2 linked regions of the Canis lupus familiaris genome follow. The protein of the gene in region 2 interacts with the protein of the main gene of each other region in a biochemical or structural test. Links are inferred from orthologs where the notes say so. Each region holds a gene or a part of one and is shown on either strand. Other genes may lie near its edges.

Region 1 (10,325 bases), on a different chromosome or scaffold from region 2:
TTTAAATTTAAAAATCTGCCCTCAATATAATTAAATGGAAAACCAGGAAAAAAAAAAAAAAAAAAAAGAAAACCAGGAATATCAAAAATGATTTTTTAATTTTTTTAATTTTTATTTATTTATGATAGAGAGAGAGAGAGAGAGAGAGAGAGGCAGAGACATAGGGAGAGGGAGAAGCAGGCTCCATGCACCGGGAGCCTGATGTGGGATTCGATCCCGGGTCTCCAGGGTCGCGCCCTGGGCCAAAGGCAGGCGCCAAACCGCTGCGCCACCCAGGGATCCCCTCAAAAATGATTTTTAAATAATCCTCAAAAAATTTAAATGTTAATCAATAGAGAATGACTTAAATTAAGATACATCCACAAACTAGAGTAGCGATAACCAAAAACTGTATTTAATTCACAAAGAATAATATTAAATGACTGAAATATTCAAAATAATCATTAAGCAAAAGTAGAAAGGATATACATACAAACACACTCTGGAAGATACACATCAAAATATAAGAATAATTATTTTGGGGGTTTGGAATTACAGATAATTTTAGTATTTTCTACAATAAATGATATACTTTTTATAATAAGAAGAAAAACTTTAAAAAAAAAGAAGAAGAAGAAAAACTTTTAAATATTTCATATTGGAAGAAAAAAATAAAAGGAAAAAAAGAGTTGTTATGGGTAACCGAAGGTAAAGTGCAATTTTAGCTGACTTACCAAATAATGTATAATCAACATCTAGTACCAAAAGCTTTTTCCCTTCCCTGGGAGGATTCAAAATTTCCACTTTATACTCTTTCACTCTACGAGAAATTTTCAGTAGGTTTTCTTCCCTAATGGAAAAATAAAATAAGGTGAAACATTCACTTTTTTCACACACTACAACCCATTTCCTTTGATAGTATAAAGTACTTACCTATTTTCTACTTCAACTACTTCATCTTCAATATCAAAGTCGTTGACAACATCATCATTGTCAGGAGGTGGACCTAAGACATCTTCCTATTAAGATGAAAAAGAGTTCTGTTTTACCAGATTATCTTTAACATAACAAATACATGCATAACATAAAAAGCAAATAAAAGATACAGTCCAAGATCAAGAATCTTTCAAGCACACACTGTGAGGAAATTTCCACATTTTATAATTCATAACATACATTCACTGAGTAGATTTACCGTGTTAAGTTTGACCATTTGCACGACTACTATGCTTATGCTAACTATATACTAAAAGTTCCCTAGTATTTGTTTTCTGCTGAGTTAATACCACATACACTGTGAAGCTTTTATTTTTCACGGACTGCAAAACTGACAATTTTACCACAATTAAAACCATGATACAACAGTGTAATATAAATCATAATACCTTCAAAGGGACAAATGGTAACAAAAGTAAACATTTACCAAGCTCTCCTCACGAGTTCCCATCATCATGATTTTAGTATTTGGTTTCAGTTTGAGAGCTCCAAGCTTAACATCATTTTCTGCAGGTTTGCCTACAATACAAGCAAATGACTGTTTTCTCACTAAAGTTCAGGTGCTGATTTCACTATCCCATTATACAAAACCCTAATATTAAAAGGTTTGGTACAGATTCCACAGCAGTTTTTTTCTTAAATTAACAAACTTTCACTGCTGAATTAGCAATGTCTAACACACTAACAAGTAGCAACTAATAAATTTGTTTTTTTCCCCAACTCCATCTCAGAGGAACATCTTTATTCAACTAGCTAAAGAAAATAAATTATTTTAGTTTGTTGTTCAAGATGAAGATGTTTTCCAGAAAGTCTTGAACACTGAGCACCTAAGACAAAACTCGAGATTTTTTGCTACCCAAAATTCACTCTTCAATGATATGCCAAACACAAACACCAGGAAAGTTCCTTTCGAACTGGATATAAACACTGCTTATAATTTTTAAATCATCATTTTAAAACATTACTTTTGAAGCAGAAAAGATGACTTAGGGAGAGTATAAGAACCCAGCTGTAATGAAAAAGCTGTGCTAGAACACAGATGTCAGAAACTACACTGTTTTACCTGAGACTTCTGCACCACAGGTTTAACAAGCAAACACCAACTGTCAGAGGAATCAAAAGTAATCTTAATAGCGGTGGTATTTTCAAGAAATTTTTAATATTATTTTTATCATACAGCAATTTTAGGGATATCCCTAACAAAGAAATCTAAAGGAGAAAGACTTATTAAAGAGAAAAAAATAACATATGAAAATTCATAAGTGTTTCGATGCAAAAAGTTTAAAGTGAGGAGAGAATTACCTTTAACTTTGAGTCCAAGTAACTTTTGGCGTTCTGGTAGCACTCCTGTAAGAGTCTTAAGAAACTGTTTGAGATCTAGCACGGTATCATCTTCTGAAAGTGTGGTCACTGAATATTCCTGTCCACCCCATTTTACAATGATAGGAAGAGCCATCCTTGAAACATACGATCAAGCAGCTTTCACTCAGAAAAAGATACCTAAAAAGAAAGGGATATACCAGTAAATAAGTTAAAACAGATACATCAAAGACGCAGCTAAATTTGTAACTAAGTTTTAGAAGCAATGCAGTTTGCAGCTAAATTTGTAACTAAGTTTTAGAAGCAATGCAGTTTGAGTCCTACTTTACAACTGGATGGTGGAGAAACAAGATTTTCTCCTTACAGAATCTGTGTTACCAGAACACCAAAAGTTATTAGGCCTCAAAGTTAAAATTCCCCTACCCTCCCAATTTTTGGCTTAAAGTTACTACTTCCTAATATACTCTGCAATGATCAGCTACCTATCCCTCCCTCTCTGTTTGACCAGGTTTATGTTACAGGTAAGTTCCTCCATCATGGACCATTCATAGTAACACTTGAGAAGTGGCACAGTGAGTTGTTAAAAGTGCAAACCCTAGAGCCATAGTACCTGGGTTTAGATCCCAGCTCTCTCACTTATTGGCTATTTTACTTTGGGAAGTTACCAGACTCCTAGTGCCTAAGTTTCCTTCTCTGTAAACTAAGGATGAGAATATTTCTACTTTGGGGTTCTTATGAGGCTTAAATTAGCTAATATTTGTAAGTCATATAGACCTGGCACATAGTAAGCACTACAAAAATAAGCATTATCTAAATAAATTTTCTTAAAAATCTGAGCTGACAGTCAGCCCCGGTGGCTCAGCGGTTTGGCGCCGCCTTCAGTGTGTGATCCTGGAGTCCTGGGATTGAGTCCCACATCGGGCTTCCTGCACAGAGCCTGCTTTTCCCTCTGCCCGTGTGTCTGCCTGTCTCTCTCTCTCTCTCTCTCTCTCTCTCTCTGTGTGTCTCTCTCATTAATAAATAAATAAAATCTTAAAAAATCTGAGCTGATGTGTTCCAGGCACTGTGCTAAATAAAAAGCATCGCCATTATTTGTTTAGTATTTAATAAATTGGAAAGTTTTTATGCAATGTCATTTAACAGGGTTGATAAGAATCATCCCTCTTTTGCAATTAAAAAAATGGGACTTCAGAGAGGCTAAGTAATCTGCTAATGGGCACACAGGCGGTAACAGAACAGGTCTTCTGACTAAATCTCATGTTTCTTCCTCTACATCACAACTGCCTCTCTTGAATTGGGACCTACAGGAGGCAAAGCATCAAAGATCAGTAAATAAAAACCCACAGGCACAGATAAAAGTGCACAAGATCAAATAGTGGTTGTTAGTCTCATCAACAATGGCATGTAGGGCTTTTCTCTCTTAATACTTTTTATCAATTTTCCTAAGTCCGTTTCCCCCCAGGTCAGAGAATTGAATTTCCTAATCTCCATTTCCAGATGCTATCACTTGTTTAAGGAAACATTTGATTGCATTCTCCCTGGATAATAACCAATGCAAGAAGACAAACTGTGAATCATTACATACAAAAATAACGTAGGAACTTAAGAGGTCTTCAACATGCCCACTAGAGGAAGCACTAGAAAATCAATCATACTTACGCTCTTATGTTTGTACCTGCTCTACTGAAATTTAAAGTAGTAATTTAGGGCAATGCGTTCTGTTGAGATAACTTGCTCTAGGAAATGTTATGATTCTCAATAAAGTGCCAAAAAGACCTTTCGAGCCAAACTAAAATATGATTTAAACATTATTCCTCTGTGAAGGTGGCAATAAAAATGAAAATTTACAAGAGCTAAGAATGGGACCACCACCAACTAACAGAGTTTACATTGTGCTGGGGGTGGGGCGAGAGCAGAGAGTTTGGAGTAACATCCTCTGAGCTCCAGGTGAGCCTGGGCAAGTCATTTCACCTCTAGACCAGTATTTTCGAAGCGTTGTCTAAGACCAAGCAACAGCATGACTGTACTTGGTAACTTGCTATAAACATAACGGGGGCTGGAGAGAAAAGAACCCAGCAATTTGTGTTTTAGCAATCCCTGTCCCAGCCTCCCCCTCACCCCGTCTCTGAGGCATACGAAAAGTCTGAGAGCCAGTGCTCTAAACTCTTCAATTTTCTCAGCTAAAAAAGAAAACCTACCAGATGGCATTGGGCTCTGCACGCTTAGTAGAGTAGTATACAAATGTTATACACTGTACACCTACACCCTGGTGGGAATCCCAAGTTGGCAATTGCTCTGAACGACCAAGCGTAACAAAACAAACACCCTCGAAATCTTAAACGCAGAGTCCTTAAAACTGCTTTTGAACCTCATTTCTCCAACATTCAGATCACTCCCAAGGGAACACACAGTGCAAATGCAGGAGTCATTTTATGTTTTCCCATTTAACCTCCTCTCTCACGCCATTCTAATGCTTTGTGTCATTCTAGGTCCTATCAGATCAATACACCGAAAAATGATTTGGGGTAGGGTTGACGGCAATTAAAACTACTACCCAAGTAAGGACCGCAACCTCTAGGACAGCCGTTTGGGTTAGTTCTGCCTAACATACTGAACTGACCCGTCCGGTCAATTCCAAAACTCCTGCCTCAAAATGAGGCGATCCTGAGTTCACGAGAACAGCGTTAATGGACGAAGCAACACCTGTGACAGCACTTTGTGAACTGTAAAGCGCAAGGCGGACGGTGGCGATGACCACACGGCCACCTGCTCAAACAGCTTATCTCACTTGATCTTTGCATTCCTGAACTGACGACTATTGTCTTCACGTATCCACGTTAGAAAACTGAAAAAGAAAACCATTTTGTCCAAGGCCGCAAGTTGCGGAAACCTGAAACTAACAGCAAAAGCGACCGCCTGGGGCGCTGAGCGGAGGTGAAGCCCTCAACCAGCCTCCGGCACGGCGGCAGCCGCGGGAGGCGACCGCCCTAGGGCGGCAGGCAGGCAGGCAGGCAGGCAGGCAGGCAGGCAGGCAGGCGTCGCAGGCACCCCAAGAACCCGAGGCCCCGGCCTTCACCTGGAGGGGGAGGGGGAGGGGGAGGGGGAGGCGGAGCCGTGGACAAACCCCGAAGGGCGCAGGAATGGAGTCTGGGGACGCAAAACCCACTGGGGCTTGGGGAGCCCCCGGCAGCAGCGCGGAGGCCGGGCGGGAGGGCGGAGGCCCGGCGAGGAGCTGCAGGGGCCACGGCCTGGGCCGCACACCGGGGCAGACGCGGCCCGGGGCGCCCGCAGGCAGCGTCCGGCCCGGCCCGGCCCGGCCCGCGGGCCGCCGTGGAGGCCGCGTCGCGCGAACTGCAGCGCCGCGCGGCGGCCCCCCGGCCCCGACCGCCTCCCCGGGGGCAGCGCCCCGGGGCGCCCCGCGTCCCCTCACCTGGAGAGCCGCGGGGCCCGCAGCAGTGGACGCAGGAACCGGCCACAGCGGAACCGACGGCGGCCGGAAGTGAGGAACGGGGACCGGAACCGGCTAACGAGCCGGAAGTTCAGGTTTGAAACGGAAACGCGCTGGAGACTGCGCGGCGGCCTCCCGCGTCCGTCTCCGGCAGGGTAATCCTGGACAGCGGCTGCCAGGGATCTCCTGACCCGGCGCGGGAGCCGGGCCTTTCCGAGACTGTGGCCCGTGACCGCGGGGCGGACAGGGGGGTCCTTGGACACGGGCCAGCCCTCGCCCGCCTGCGCATGCGCCCGCTCGTGGGCGCGGAGCTGGGCGGGGCTCCGCGGGGGGCGTCTCCCGTATTGTTGCGCTGCCCGCGGCGGTGGGTCGGTGGCGTGGCCCCGGCTGCCGGGGTGTGCGGAGACCTTCGTAGGACTCGAGCCTAGGACTCGTGTGGCGTTGCCGTGTTCCGGATGAGGGCTGAAAGGGGCCCTTTAAGGCTGAAGACTTGAGCCCCCTCCGCTCCCCGCCCCGGCACCAGGGGCCTCCAACTTGAGTAATTTTAGGAGCTTGGACTTCCACCCGTTTTATGCAACGGTAAACTGAGGACCCGCAGAAAAGGGAAGGGGTGAGCCTAAGTCACTCCGAGAACCGAAGAAGCAGATCTCAGTACGAGAGCTGCCATCGAGGTCACTAAAGTAGGGCATCGAATTTTACCTCCCCTTGCCCGTCCCCACCTCCGCTCCACCTTCCCTCTGAATGCGAGGAAAGCCAGTTACAAACCCAGACAAAAGAATTGTAGACTTTAGTGGAAATTCAGAGCAGTCCCTATCTGATTCATACAACAAGCTCTCAACGGGCATCGCTTGCTGTCAGGCAAAAAACAAAACAAAACAAAACAAAATATTGCCGCTAGATTGTTGCATATGGCGCCAAATAAAACTTAGATTTTGATGTGGAAGGGAAAATGCTGACATGATATTGGTCTGAGCTATGCACCAGTCTTTGAATTACATATATTTTTACTTCTACTTCACAGTGATGTAAATAATTCACGTTCCCGTTTTGGCCACGATGGAAGGAAAGCAAAAAGCCAAGTTTCGTGTCTTCCCAACTTTTTAGACAAGACAAACGCTATTGTATGTTCTTACCTCTTTTCTTTTGGTAATTTCTATTGCATATTGCATTAGTAGTGTATGAAAAGCTGCTTTTTTAAAAAATGAAACATTTTCAGTGAAATAAAAGTATACCCTCCTTACTTAAAAAAAAAAAAAAGGAAGTGGGGTGCCTGGGGGGCTCAGTTGATTAAGCATCCCACTCTTGGTTTCTGCTCAGGTCATGATCTCAGGGTGATGAGATAGAGACCCCCTCCACTAGTGCTGGCTGTGGAGCCTGCTTAAAACTCTCCCTCTCCGTCTGCCCCTCCACCCCAGCTCCCATATGCCACACACACACTCACTCTCTCTCTCTCAAAAAAAAAAAAAAAAAAAAAAAAGGCAAGGAAAACCCCAAGTTAAAAATTTTTGTACAAAAATCACACAATAGCAGTCCAGCCAAAAAAAGATGGTCGAAACACAAGGGACTGAACTCCAGAATGAATTATTTTCTTTCAACTCAGTCTGTTCTTTATTCATGTGCTAACCAGCTGCTTGGCCACTGTATATTTTTTCCTGTTACTAGAAAAGCTTGTTTTTGTTAGTCATAAATGTCAACTAAGACATTTTAGATTTTAATTCTAAGCAAAAGGATGCATAAAGAGATTCTTCTTTTTAATGATAAAATAGCCATTGTACAAAAGGTTGATAAGTTTGATGTTACTCAAGTGTAGATAATTTTAAAATTGCAAGTGTTGAACAGTGAGTGGTATTTCTTAGAAAATAATGGTAGCAGAGTATTTTTTTTAAAGATTTTATTTTATTATTTATTCATGAGAGACACACACAGAGAGAGAGAGAGAGAGAGAGAGAGGCAGAGACACAGGCAGAGGGAGAAGCAGGCTCCATGCAGGGAGCCCGATGTGGGACTCGATCCCAGGACTCCAGGATCATGTCCTGAGCTGAAGGCAGACACTAAACCACTGAGCCACCCAGGGATCCCCGGTAGCAGAGTATTTTGGACAAATAGTCCAGTTAACAGATGATTTGCCCGTATCTCAGTTCTTCCATGTCCTTTTCTAGTTAGCTATATATTCATGAAATAAAAAATTATGTTAGGAATAAAGGACTTCTGGTAACTAGAAATAAATACAAAGTGGACTTTAAAAAAAGTGCTCAGAGCAACCCACAAGTGCCATTAGGAAGAGAATAATTAAATTTCTATTGCTCACTAGATCCTCCTTTTTAATGTGTGGAAAGTAATATACTTGTGCCTTACTCATAATTCTTTGCAGCAACTAAAGATGCCTGGAATTCCTCCCTAGGGTTTTGATAGGTTGTTAGGTCTAAGAGACTAAAACATGGAACCAATTTCATAAAATCAGATGATAAACTGCTGACATCACTGTGATCATGTTTGGATTAGAAGGCTAAAGGACATTCCTGCACCCAAGCCAGAAATCCTGCCACGTTCACCTGACCTGTTTACCTCCTTCCCCTTGTCTCTAGGGCATTTTGTTTCCTCCCAAGCAAAAAACAATCCTTTCTTCCTCCCTCCCTACCTCCCTCTTGCTTCCTTTCTTCCTTCCTTCCCTTCTTTCTTTCAAGTTAATGCTACTGTTTCTCCTAATGCCTGTTCCCTTGCCTTTTCCCTGGCTGCAGTCAGTGTGCTGAAATGATTAGAATCTGTCCCATAGGGCAGACTCCACAGCCTCTTAATTCAGCCTGGCAAGTTTACTGTCTTTCTCTATTTAGCTTGCTTTCCCAAATGACAACTTAAAACCACAACTCTTTTTAAACCTCAGATCTTCCAGTTTACGTGCTTGTTCTTGGCAAATGACATCGCCTTATATTTTTGATAAGAAAATAAGTCTCAGGGTGTCTGGGTGGCTCACTCATTTAAGCATCTGACTTGATTTTGGCTCAGGTCATGATCTGAGGGTCATGTGATTAAGCCCCGTGTCAGATTCTGGGCTCAGCAGGGAGCCTACTTGAAGTTCTTTTCTTCTCCCTCTGCCCCTCACTCCCTGGAAAAACAAACAAAAAAAGGAATATAGAAGATCTCACAGAGGAATTGCCTCAACTTAAGATCTCTGAATCTATGAACTAAGTTATATCTGCACCTGTCTTTGCTTCTTTTGCTTCTGTTTTTATTTGGCAATTTCCTTCTACCTGAAGCCAACCCTTATACTTGTGCTCTGGCTCCTTCCTTCTCAGCCTTCTTTAAATCTAATATCTTTTCTAGCACTTGTATTTTTAATCTTTCTCTCTACTGGTTTATTTCCATCAATGATAAACATGCCATGGTATCTTGCCATCAAGATACCTTTCCTTTCACAGTTGGGCATTTCAAAACACTGTTTACATTTGTTTAAACTTGATACAATCTATAACTGTGTATTTCAGATTTTTTTTTAATGACAGTCTCTCACTGTACTGTAAACTTTGTAAAGAACCAGCCCCTGTCTGATTAATTCACCATTATATTCTTGGAGTCTAACATGATATTGGCTAAAGCTGGTAATCAAATATTTGCTGAATGGATGAATATTAATGAATAGAACATCAAGTAATGAGAGCTTATTATATAATATATATTATGTGTATAATAATCATATCCATGAATGACTATAATCTGTGTATGGCTCTTGATGCACAGGAAAGTTCTGAAATATACACCAAAGTGTTAACAGTTCATGGTGCCATGGGATACACTCAGTTGTTAAATGAGTGTATTGAAATTATCTCTTGATAGCATCATAGAGCAAGTGATTTTCATCTTATTTATGTTTTTCTGTGTTTGGATATTTTACAATAATTTTGCATTCTTTTTAATGTAAGAATTCATGAAGGCATTCTTTTTTTAAAAAAATTCAAATAATACAGATATATCTTTACTACATAATTTTTATGCCTATCCTTGCAAGTCTTTTCTATGCTTTAGATGTATATACATTTGTATATATAGTTTATATTAATGTTTAAAAATAATTATGGATTTACAGGAGGTTGCAAAGAGAGAGATCATGTGCATCCTTCACTGAGTTTTTTCCTAATGATTATGTTTTTCATAGCCTTAGTATGGTCAAAAAGTTGACATTGGTACAATGTGTGTGCATGTATGTCATGTGCTATCACATATAGATTCATATAACCACTACAGTCAAGATACAGAACTCTTCCATCACTACAAGGATACCTTGTGCTACCCATTTATGCCCACCTTTATTCCTCCTCTTACCACTCCTAACCCTTGGTGATTAATCCGTATTTACCCATGTCTTCACTCTTTCCATGGTTCTTTCTTCCTAATGTCCCTTTATTATTCACTTGTTATTTAGAGAACTTCTTTTAGCCATTCTATCAGGATAGGTCTGCTGGCGACAAATGCCTTGAGACTTCCTTCATTTGAGAATGTCTTGACTTCCCCTTCATTACTAAAGAATGTTTTCTTTGGATATAGAATCTGGATTGATAGTTCTTTTGGCACTTGAAAAATGTGCTAC
Region 2 (3,931 bases):
ACCGCATGGCTACCATATACCAGGCATTGTGCTAGATGCTGGACCACTAAAGAGACACGAAGTCTCTGTCCTCAACAAGCTCACAGACACCCACAAATCAACTGCAGCCTCATTCCAAGAGAACAGAGGTGGTACAACTGACAGAGAAATGCTGGGGAGGCTAGGCCCTCCACCCACCCCTACCGTGCTCACTCACCTGGTAAGATAGAGGCAGACCTTTGCATATGCATTCTCATCGATGTCCTTCTCCAGCATATCCACCTGCTCAATTTCCATGAGCAGGTCACAGGCCTCATGCTCTGCATTGTGGGCCATGTTGTAGGGGACAATCTCCTTCACCAAGGTCAACAGTGGTTCCCGTTGTGATTTTTCCGCATCATCTAGCTCCTGCCACTCCTTGGCCACTTCCCCTGCGAGATGCCTGTGGATAGGCCCATGACCATTAGGAGGGATACAGCTTCACTCCTGTGGCCCAAGGAATTCAATATTTGGGAAATGCAACACCCTGGTTCTCTAAGACAGATAGTATCCCAAGACAGAACTCAGAATTAGGTCTCAGAATTCCTTTTAGATTCTCAAGAAGGAAAGGTCTTACCTGACATACTCATGACCCCATGATGCCAATTCCTCCTGGGAGCCGACCAGTCGATACTTGAGGCACTCACGTTCCCCACTCATGGTCATGGCCAAAACAGAGATGATGTCAGCAGCAAAACGCTGTAAAGAAACCAGTGCTTTAAAGTCAAATCCAGGGGAAGGAGAGTGGGAGACTATAGAGTTATGACTACCATCACTATCTCCCAAATTAAGTTGTAACTATCCACCAATCTCTATATTAGAAATTTACATGCTTTATCTAATCTAAGCCTCAAGATAACCCTAAGGTTGGTGTTGCTATCTCCCTTTGAAACCAATACGGCTGAAGAATGATAACAAGGAGAAAACAAAAAAGATGGGAGACTGAATTTTGTTCTAGTTGCAATAATAAATTATTAAAAGGTTTTAAGCAGAAAAGATTTTCACAATCTAAAAAGATCACCGTGGCTGCTCTGTGAAAGACAACCTGTATAAGTCACAAGCAAAAACAAGGCAGCCAGTTTAGGAGACCACTGAGGAACAAAAGATTTCCTGGATTATAGCTATACTAGTAGACAGAGAAATAATTGAACTAGGAATTTATTTTAGAAATAAAACAAGTGAACTAACATGGGATATGATAGAAATAAAAAAATCAAAGCTAAACATAAGTTAAAAACAGATCATGAGGGGTGCCTGGCTGGCCCAGCATGCAACTCTTGATCTTGGGGTCATGAATTCGAGCCCTGCACTGGACACATATTACTTTAAAAAAATCATGAAAAAAAATTCTAAGATCCACCATAAATGACAAAAAGGTGTATTCTGAGAAGGTCACCCTCCCGTCAGCTCTTGTGCCAGTATTTTGACTATGATCAGCTCAGTTCAACCAGCTCAGATCTCAGGTCTGTTAGGCTTCCTATGATTCACCAGGAGACCCCTGGGCTAGATGAAAAAGTATTACTAAGCTAGGCTTCCATCAGCTTCTGAAACAAGTTTACCTTATTCTCCCCGGGGGCCATGTTCTCATAGATTTCCTTCAGTTTGCCATAGTGTGGACGCAAAAATTTGAGAGGCTTGGGTACTGAAGTCATGGAAGTTGTAGAAGATCGAATTTGCCTCCGCAGTTCCTCCAGGGCTGGTCGGTACAGGGATGTGTCCTTCTCCTGATCAGGAGATGTTAGAGCTCAGACACAAACGAGTCCCATTTCTCAAGTCATAACACAGAGGTGTTTAACTAACAACTCCCTTAAGAAAGTAATTGTGTCTTATTCATCTGTGATTCCCCAACTCCCCGCTCCCTGCCTGGTACCAAAAAAAAAAAAAAAAAAAAATCCCAGTAAACAGTTCAAGAAAAAAGCTACAAAGTCTTTCAACTATCCTTTGTCATTCTTTTCTCTCACATCATCATCACAACCCTAAACAATCCGTCTTTCCTTATACCTCATATAGGAATTGTTGCCCCAAAATGTAATAAATCAAACAGGCAGGAAAGATCCAAATATGTACCCACTCAAGTCCACATCATGACTCACCCCTAGCCGTTCCACAAGCATCTCCAGTTCATCCTGCAGTTGTTTGTCCTCCTCAGACTGAGGGTTGGGGGAAGAAGTTCGTCAAGAGAAGGAATCCCAAACACATCCTCCTCCCATTCACCCCGGGGCAGGTAGAGGTAACCTGCCTCCTTAGGAGGGATCAGGTGGACAAGGAAAGAGCGCAGAAATGGCACCCTGGCGGGAAGGCAGGTGGGAAGGCAACCTGGCATCTAGGCCAGGCTGCTTCAATGCCATACTAAAAAACAGGGGTGACAATGTCCGGCCCGGGCCCACCTCACGGGTCAGTGGTGAGGGCTGGTGGGGTCGGCAGAGGCGAATGCGCAGAGTGGAGGATGAGGGGCAGGGAGTGCGAGGAGCCCCGAGGATCGCTCCATCCGCCCTCTCCCGGACGCTGCGGGGCCGTTGAGAGTCGGGCCCAAGGCCTGCGGACCCGCGGTGACTCAGCCCCGCGGCCTCCTCCGCCGGGTCCCGGGGCCGTGCCTCACCAGCTCCTGTTCTTTGTCCTTGTCGCTTGCATCCCGCCGTTCCTTGCCGCTCGGCTTCTCGTCCGCACTGCCCGGGGCGGTCGCTGGGGGTTGCTGAGGCTGCAGCGGAGCCTTATCCCGTCCACCCTCCTCCATCGCCGCCGCCACTGCCGGCCAGCTGCGCGCGCACCGCTCGCACCGCCCGCACCGCCCCGTTTCCCATGTGGCCTTGCGCGCGTGGCCGACGGCGCCCCGCCCCCTGAGCGCGCCTGCGACCGGAAGCGCCGCTGGGAACCTTCCACCGCCGCGTCGCGGGAGGCCCGGCCCTCGACCCCGCCCTCGGAGGCCGCCCCCAAAACTGCAAGTTCTAACCGCTCACGCGCCCCAGGCGCCGCCCCGGCTCGGACCGGGAGTTTCCGGAAGGCCACGCTGCTGTGCAGTCTGCGATCCGAGTCCGCTGGCTGCGGTAGGAGATGAAGAGCCGCGAGCCGAGGGACCGCCCGCGGGGTCTCCTTACTCGCCGAGCGACCGGTACCCACAGTGACACCGCAGTCGGCTGCGTGGTGGGACAGACGAACGAAACCCTTCACGTCCGGAATGCTTGATCGCCGCCCGTGTGAGATCTGCAACCTGTATCTACTTCCGCCGCCGCGGAATATTAACCTCGTAACGTTTTACCCCCGGGTGAAGGAGAGTGCTCGGGTACCACCTGCCGCGTACGGCCCCCACCTTAAATCCACCTGCGGAGCCTGGTCGGAGTCCATCAATACAATGTGGTCCTATGCTCCGATGCTAAACTCTAGAACTAAAGGCAGATCAAGACACAGGCTTTGCCTTCTTCAATCTCTGTCTTTTGGTCTTTCCGTGATTTGACTTAGAAGGGGTGTGAAGGACACTGTTGAAGTCAGGATTAGTTCTAGATGATACATAACGTCCTCTCGGCCGTTTGAATTTGGTAAGGCTGTGTCCCGTTTCCACAGAGGAAATCAGGTAGTCAGTAGTAGGATCAGGATTTGAACCTTGATCCAGTCTTCCAAGTTCCTGATTGTTTGAAGCAAAACTCCATGTTTTTTCTTAAGTTTGGGGCTACATGTATGCATCCAGAAGGTGAGAAAAGGGGAAGTAACTCCTCCCCCTCATCTGGTGGGAACACTCACCAGTTGACCTGGGGTCTTCATTATGGGTTCTGGGGCGTTAAAGAATGCAGAAAGTATTTGTGTTTTTTTGTTTTTTGTTTTGTTTTGTTTTGTTTTTAGAAAAACCTAGGACAGCATTGTTAGCACTGAATGAATGTTGGCTAAATATATTTAGAGATAGAATTGCATAGCCTATTTT

What was found. The genes of interacting proteins can lie anywhere in the genome.
Region 1: the proteins of PSMD2 (region 2) and UBLCP1 form a complex in vitro, tested with the Homo sapiens proteins (3 studies listed by BioGRID). The link is inferred for Canis lupus familiaris from reciprocal best matches to the Homo sapiens genes PSMD2 and UBLCP1.

What each region holds. Positions count from the first base shown.
Region 1 is NC_049225.1:52,117,933-52,128,257, forward strand, and holds the start of UBLCP1 (ubiquitin-like domain-containing CTD phosphatase 1), read right to left. Parts: upstream 6,001-10,325; 5' UTR 5,839-6,000; coding exon of another isoform or gene 5,476-5,838; intron 5,230-5,475; coding exon of another isoform or gene 5,137-5,229; intron 5,021-5,136; coding exon of another isoform or gene 4,983-5,020; intron 2,476-4,982; 5' UTR 2,432-2,475; coding exon 2,278-2,431; intron 1,495-2,277; coding exon 1,403-1,494; intron 999-1,402; coding exon 913-998; intron 830-912; coding exon 714-829; intron 1-713. Other genes in the region: uncharacterized protein LOC119876217, read left to right, coding at 4,983-5,020, 5,137-5,229, 5,476-5,838, 6,765-6,864. UniProt on the Homo sapiens protein: Dephosphorylates 26S nuclear proteasomes, thereby decreasing their proteolytic activity. Recruited to the 19S regulatory particle of the 26S proteasome through its interaction with 19S component PSMD2/RPN1.
Region 2 is NC_049255.1:17,348,988-17,352,918, reverse strand, and holds the start of PSMD2 (26S proteasome non-ATPase regulatory subunit 2), read right to left. Parts: upstream 2,801-3,931; 5' UTR 2,753-2,800; coding exon 2,618-2,752; intron 2,169-2,617; coding exon 2,112-2,168; intron 1,743-2,111; coding exon 1,578-1,742; intron 718-1,577; coding exon 596-717; intron 422-595; coding exon 197-421; intron 1-196. UniProt on the Homo sapiens protein: Component of the 26S proteasome, a multiprotein complex involved in the ATP-dependent degradation of ubiquitinated proteins.